Drosophila melanogaster: one gene and its partner. The protein of the gene in region 1 purifies or fractionates together with the protein of each later gene. This does not show direct contact. Each region holds a gene or a part of one and is shown on either strand. Other genes may lie near its edges. The genes, in order: Chchd2 and P32.

Region 1 (4,044 bases):
AGTCACGTGTCTGCAAATCGGTATTGGTAATTCTACTGTGGGATGGGATACTTGAGGGCTTTGCGATCTATTACTATCACAGACATTCATTAATGGTTGGTTAATGGTATTTGTTCGTTGATTTTAATAAGCTAACTTCTATTATTGAACATCATTGTATGGCTTGAACATCACCTAGAAGTTTTACAGAAACGTGTTTTTCAGTATTTGTTTATGGAAACATCGTCCCTTTTGTACAAATTTTATACACATACAAATTGTTTATAACTTTAACTAGATTTCGTTTGAAAAATTCTTTTACAAATACAAAACCCAAGAAAAGGCTGTGATAAACTGATACGAATAATTTTTAGAGCCTTAACATTCGTTTTTAAATCTTAAAAACGTCTTAAAACAAAAATAAACTACAAAAAAAGTTCCAAGGTTTATGAAAGACGGAAGTTTCAGTGAAGATTACGTTTAAGTATACAAAAAGGGTCACAATAACTTTTAAATACATATTTAAGTAGTTTTCCTGCGTTAACACGTTTTTTTTAAACTGTAGATGGGCGCTATACGCACACACACACACGCATAAGCACCGTAAAAAACACACGCGCGTTGTTGTTGTTGAATTGCGAGTTTTTAAGGGTTTATACTTTCTTGAAGGTTATCCTTTTGGATAATTGGCTCAATATACGTGGATGTATATTGTATTAAACATATTCTTGCGCTGCAAGCAGATAAAAAAAATATACAAAAAAAAAGGGGAAACAAACACGTGTGACGCACACACACAGTTGCACTCGCGCGCACACACACAAACAAAAAGCCGCCCGTTTTTAACCTCATTTCGGTGGAAATGGCAATATTCCGCAGTTTGCCGCAGTAAATTCACAAAACCCTTAGTATCCACACTAGTTGCCAGCGTTTAGCCGTCTTTTGGCCATCCTCTGGCCACAATCCACACAATTAAACGTTGAAAATCCCTTACTTTGTCACAGAAGAAATCGAGATACGATGTCAGCGCAAAGGCAAACGCCTGAAAAAGAACATGTTACGGCAGTGTGCAGCAACGCCAGAGAGTCCGCTTCCGCCGACACGCACACGGTTGCATTCCGGCTGCCAGGGCTGCGCAACAAGTGAACTATCGAACGGAGATAGGCGGCCATGAGTGGGGATTATTCCTCGACTTAATCACTTTTTCGAACGCGTTTGCTACTTGAGTTGCACATTTATATGTACTTCATAGAAATATACCCTGCTTTCAGGCATACTATTAGTTTTAAGCCACTTTTTTAATGACAAATTTCGAACTTTCTATCGATATGCGGCATTTCGCGGTTTTGCCAGTCACAACGGGTGGCGATAGTTGAAATTCGCATGCCAAATTTTCTTTATTACGGTCACCTTATAGAAATTTTGATATGCTTGAGTATTAAATGTTATTATTTCACTGACTGTAAAATAAAAAGTTATTTAAATCGTAATGCATATATATTTATAACATATAGTTCTTTATTTGATTTTGTAAGTGGAAAAAAATATGTGGTATGTAAAGATTATATATATGGGATATATAAAATACACAAAAATTTTACTATATTACATAGTAAATTTAAGGGTGGTAAAACGTTTTTACACGAATACAATATCCAAATACTTTAGTAAAATATATTTTTAATCATAAGAATTTACCCATATTATTAACTTTTCTGGCACATTCTATATCCGATAGTTTACACCTTATGCCTTAGTATTTTTCGGTATTTTCTCCGGCCACACTGGCAGCAGGCCGAAGTTTCTCGTCCAATTGGGATTATTTCGGAATTTCAGTTACTAGCTCGTCATCAAAACAGCAACAACTGTTGAGAATAAAATTCTTGCGTGAAACCGAATCAATAGAAAAACAAATAAAACAAACAAAATGGTTCGCCGTGGACGTTCAGCCAGTCCCCCGCCCTCCACTCGTCGGTAAGACAGTCGCGAAAAACAAAGAAAATTCGGGGGAAATTGGATAAAGCGCCGGCAGGAAATTCATTTCGTAATCACCGACCAATCAATCGGATGATCTGGCTTTATCTCATGGACAGAATTTCACTTCCGCCGCTTTTTCCGGCCCCCGAAATGGGTTAAGGTTACGTAACCTTAAAAATAAGAGGATTCCCAATAACATGGGATGTTTTATTGGTGCTGTCCTCCTAGCGGAAGACCCGCTAAATCTGGCTACTTATTCAATTACGAAAGTGCTCATAAAATCCATTTTTGTAAGAAATTTACTAAATTTATTGTTCTATGTAAATATATATATATATCCCAGGCCATTGATTTATTAAATTAAAAACATCACATGTTTTTATTTTGCGTTAAAAAAGTAAAATATTCAAATGTTTATACAATTTGGCTTATTATAAAGAAAACAAGAATTTGCATAGGAATATAAAAATATTACCTACTTTTGCAGTAGATATAAAATAAAGTCCTTTAAAAATCCTAGGAATTAGTTAAATTTGTATAGTTCATTGTTTTCAACACAAAGACCCTTCAATTTCGTCACGGAATGATCAACGACACTCCAGAGCAAAGTCCACAATAACAACTGATTGCTTCTGTTTTCCCAACAGCACCGCACCTGTGCAGGCCCGTGCCCCCGCCCCGGCCCCGGCTCCTGTCCAGACACGTGCCCCAGCACCGGCCGCCTCTGCCCCTGTTCCGGCGCCCATGAGCGCTCCTCCCAGTGCCGTCGGCATGCCGGCACCGCAGCAGCCATCGATGTTCCAGCAGATGGCCGCCACCGCTGGAGGCGTGGCCGTGGGCTCAGCCATTGGACACACCGTGGGTCATGGATTGACCTCGCTGTTCAGCGGATCTGGCGACAAGGAGGCCGCTGCTCCCGCTCCGGCGGCAGCCGCTCCTGCCCCCCAGCAGCCATACTACGCCCAGCAGCAGCAGCCCAATGAGCCGCAGGGAGCCTGCGCCTGGGAGCTCAAACAGTTCATCCAGTGCGCCCAGGGTCAGGCGGATCTTACCCTCTGCGAGGGATTCAACGAGGCGCTGCGGCAGTGCAAGCAGAGCCACCATCTCCAGTAGAGGGCCCAGCTCCGGTAGAATATCATCTGGCCAAGCACCGGCGGATGAACGCAGCCGGATGAACCCATCGGATGAACACCTCCGGATGAACTCTGTCCTATCCCTTCGTTTAGTTCTTAATTGTTTAATTGCAAGCATCTGAAAGAAAGCATTGTTTAATTGTAGTGCAAAATGAAATGTTAAATAGAAAATCCCGTTGGCAGCCCAAAACCCTTTCCAAAAAAAAACACAAACAAACAAAACAAAAAAGAAACCAAACCCCACGGGTTGTCAATGTGGGCCAAAACAAAACGAAGTTTCCAAGAGTTTTTATTGTTTAAAATATAAATATATGCATAAGTTAATATCAAGTTATAATTGTTGTCTAAACAAGGAGCCAAGAAAATCTTTGAAATATTCATTTTTCAAGAAGCTTCTAGAAAAAATGCAACTTTCCCTTTTCCTCCTTCTGGAAAATGCAAAATTTGCATTCTATTGTGAAATGTGGCTGCATGCGGTTGCCAAAAATAATTTTGGTGACATTGCACTTCTATAAATAGGAAAATCGATTCATTTCCCTATACATTTGTATGGGAACCCCTTTTCGCCTTTTTCATTGTCACGTGTCTTTCATTTCAGCTTTTCTTGTGTTTTGATTGCAATGCGCTTTGTTTTGTTGAAATTAGGTGGTAAACAAATGGGAAATATGATAAACATGTTTACCTACTTGCTGTTTAGTTATAAATGAAGGGTTATATAGCATATATATTCTATTATATGCTATACACATACAGATGTACATATTCATGGTTAAACGAGCGATTAGTCATAGATCTTATTAATGGTCTTATGAAATATTTGCCGTGGAAACGTAATTTTGAAAAGTTAAGAACTGTTTAAAAGGTTCCCTAAATTACCACCCAAAAAAATATTATGAACTAATCCCTGCGTTCGAGACATTCATGTTTCCGTTTTTATTCAATAATTTTTACATAG
Region 2 (3,852 bases), on another chromosome or scaffold:
AAGATGCAAATCCATATTGGACAATTCTAATTAAATGGTTTTGACAGGCAATTTAAACATCAAAATACTGGCAAAGACATCAACCTGTTAATGGGCTCCAATGCCTATACGACCACACAAAAAACACCTAATCTGGATTTAGAAAAGGATCGCAGTCATGAGTGCAAAAACTCCACGGAACATTTGGAAAAAGAGCTGCCCTGCAAAACGTCAACGCTGACAAAAGTGAAACGCACTTACATCTAGTGGCCTTGTGAGGGCAGCCAACTGCAAAATTAGTCGAATTTCTATACTCTAAAACATATTTTCGTTGTTTATGTTGCTGTTAGTTATAGTAACCCCCCACCCAATTTGCGAATAATGTAAACGACAGTCTCGGATGCGTTTGAAACGCATCCGAAAGATAGGAAGCAGAGCTGTTGCGTCTTTTTTACTTAGCTTGTATTGTAATTTAATTTGATGTAAAATTTGCGTAAGCTTAGTTTCTTTGTCAAAATTTAGTTAAATTTATTGACAACGTAGTGTGCGGGCTGCCGCAGCCTGGAGCTAACCCGAAGCATTCCGCATTCCCCTGACGTCGACCTTTGCTGTCCAAAATAGGAGTGCCGGCTCTTGGCTACGCAGCCCGATTGTGTCGCCCCTTATGTGTACTCTTAATGTATAATCTTTAAGTGCAAATATTAGAGCTGTACAAATTTAATCACATATCATGCATACCGAAATCGAACCCGAAGCGGACCAGCCCCAATTATTTCTCGAAATTCAATCGAATATTCAACAAGTATTTTGTTAGACTGAATGATTAATTATTCTATATGAGTTTGTTTTGTGGAGAACTAACAGAATGCGACAGAGACTTTAAAGCTCTATGCTTTGTGGCTAACAAAAGCGTAAAATTGTATCTAACATAAGCTCTATAAGGAATTGAACATAGAATGTAATTAAAAGTACGAACTAGGCTAAGAAACGAAGAAAACTTCTATGAGGCTGTTTGATAAGAACTGACACCGCAGCCCCCACATCATCAGATGGAAAAACGCACAAGAAAGCGAAAATAAATGAACACTGCAACAACAGCAAGCCTTATAAATAGTATAAAATCGTGTCGAATCTAGGCCTTAACGCTAAACTTGTAAGCTTTGGATGGAAATAATGAGCTTGGTTGGCAATCAACGTAAATCAGCATTTTAATAATTTTATGTTTAATTTCTAAGCTGTTGTCCGTCCCACTAAAGAAGTTGCATAAATACAATGTACAATGGCAATTTTATTTTTAAAACGTGTAAAATGCAATTTTCATCGTAATTAATATATTTTTATACGTATATGTACGCCTAATGTCTAAATCTTAACATAAGAAAGTCTTAAAAATGGAAAATCCCGATAAAAGCTATATATAAAATATTTTTAAATCTTACAAAAAAAAACGTAATGTAATGATTTCTCATATTGTGATAGATTTTATTGAAATTTTAGAAAGATGAAATGATATGCCTTTTGGTTGAAAAACAATGATATATATGACGAACGAGTCTGATTGCATGCATGATAATATTGCGTAGGAATGGGTCTTCCACTCGGAGGATCAAGAACCAGAGAAAACCCTTCATGGTGTTTAGTTTTTATTACTGTGTATGTCCTTGTAATGTGTATATTGTTGTATACATCCGATAAGCAATTCGTAAATCTAATAAAGTCGTCATTTTTTTCATAACTCAATGTGGTCTTTTAATAGGTTCGGATCTATGAAACATTGAATTTTTACAGCAAATATGGTTTGGTTATATTTATTGAAATCAATCATTTTTCCAATAAAGGCTAATTTCAAAATTTGAATAGTTTACGATAAAGCCTTTCGCGCCGAAAAATGATCGATAACTTCTGATATGGCTCTACAATACATCAGCCTCGTGATTTTCTGAATAAGATTCAACGGTCACACCAGGCACTACACTTTTGGCGTGTTGCACATTTCAGTGTTTAATTAAAGTAAAAAGCCCAGGTCGCGGTTATATAACAAAATGAACAGCCTAAGGACAGCAACCATGCGATTTGCCGCTCTGGCCAGCTCCAGTGCCGGATCTCTCGGCAAGCGCGATTTCACCCGCAGCCTGTGGCACATGACCAAAAAGCCGGTGACAGCCGGAGGATCCGATCATGTAACCGTGTTGAATCTCCACAAGCCCAGCATTAATTGCACGTGCGGCTGCAACGTGCACACCAAATGTAAGTTAACTCAACAAATTCTTACATGGGCGGTCCATGCCGCCGGTTACATAACCTCAAACGTTGGGTGACGAAATGTTGACCAAAACACAGAAAATTAAACGCTTTGTTTATATCCAGGTGAGCGGGAACTGGTGGAGTTCCTCACCGAGGAGATAGTGGCCGAGCGCAAGGTTCAAAAGGGCAAGACGGTGCCAAGCACCCTGGATGGATTCGCCGTAAAACTGACCGGCGCCGATGTGGAGCTCACCAAGCAGACGGATAAGGAAAAGGTGGTGGTCAGCTTCAATGTGAACCATACGGTGGACAGCGAGGAGGAGCCCGAAATCAACCCCAATGCTGACAAGCCGGATCTCGGTGAAATGAGAAGCAAGCCCCAGTTCGAGGTGGACATCATAAAGGGCAACTCTACGCTGTCCTTTACCTGCAGCTTCCTTCAAGGCGAAGCTCAGGAGGGCGAGTACAGTGAGTACTTTGACAGAAATCGTTTTGATTCACCGATAACACAGGTTTTACCTTTCAGACGATGTCTTCTCCATTGATGAAATGGCCATCTTCGAGGGCGAGTGGAACGATAAGGTCTACGCCGTCGCAGGCGACGTGCTTGACGGTTACTTGTACGACTTGCTGATCAACTTGCTGGAGGAGAAGGGCATCAGTCAGGAGTTTGCCGAAAAACTGTCGGACCTAGCCACTGCCCATGAGCACACTTCCTACATTGGTCTGCTGGAAAAGCTCTCCAAATTCACTGCCGGTGGCAAGTGAATGTTCGTCCCACTTAATCTTAAAGCATAAAGTTGTGTAGGTTTTTAAGTTTCTATTGTCTGCTGTCGCAGTTTCATCACCTAAAACAGTTTTTATTAGTTGTGTTTTTGGTTTAACTGTGACAGTGAAACTTAGTTTTTAAGCCATAAAACATTCATACATGTTTCAGATAAAACTATAGAAACGGTTGCCAATAATTCACCCTTTTCGGCATCAGCTTCGCTTTGGTTTTTAACAAATACAACGTTAATTCCCTAGTTTTTTTTTTTGTTTATTTTCTTTCTATGGTTGCATCGATTTTTCGTAAAGATTTTCCTGTGGGTTGAGTTTCGTGATCATTTAGAACTGCCGGAAATATGGCCTGGGATCGTAGTCACTTGGTCGGTATCCTCCCCAGTCCTCGTGGTTCTTGCAGGCGGCGCAGATGAGGAGAGCGAGGAGCACGAGGATTGGCAGCAGTTGCATCTTGATTAACGGCAAGTTAACTTTAGATTGTGGTGCTGCAGCTTTTAATGCTCCTCTTTATAGGTGAGATTGCCTCACCTTATCGTTGAAATAGTGACCTTTCTCTTGGGGAAGTACTCCGATCTGTTTATTGGGCGATGGGATTTACCATTAATGTACGACCTATATGTGTTATTGTTTCACAATAAGCAGGATTATCAGCGTGGAGGCCATGTAATGTCATACTTTGTCATTAAGATGGATTTTATATATTTCGTTAAAAAGCTTTTTTTTATACGACCAATAATAAGAACTGCGACCATTACCTAATCATAGGCTTGTATATACTTCTAAGAAACTCAAAGACGGATTCTGTCTGAATATAACATTTTTTATAGTTCGCTACTTGAACTTATT

What was found.
Region 2: the proteins of Chchd2 (region 1) and P32 purify together in Drosophila melanogaster (affinity purification with western blotting, with the first as the bait; one study listed by BioGRID). This does not show direct contact.

The regions. Positions count from the first base shown.
Region 1 is NC_004354.4:17,147,231-17,151,274, forward strand, and holds Chchd2 (Coiled-coil-helix-coiled-coil-helix domain containing 2), read left to right. Parts: upstream 1-1,770; 5' UTR 1,771-1,906; coding exon 1,907-1,953; exon of another isoform or gene 1,954-2,246; intron 2,247-2,603; coding exon 2,604-3,069; 3' UTR 3,070-3,417; downstream 3,418-4,044.
Region 2 is NT_033778.4:17,670,704-17,674,555, reverse strand, and holds P32 (P32), read left to right. Parts: upstream 1-1,915; 5' UTR 1,916-2,021; coding exon 2,022-2,226; intron 2,227-2,346; coding exon 2,347-2,691; intron 2,692-2,749; coding exon 2,750-2,991; 3' UTR 2,992-3,247; downstream 3,248-3,852. Other genes in the region: Sema1b (semaphorin 1b), read left to right, coding at 48-246; IBIN (induced by infection), read right to left, coding at 3,331-3,456.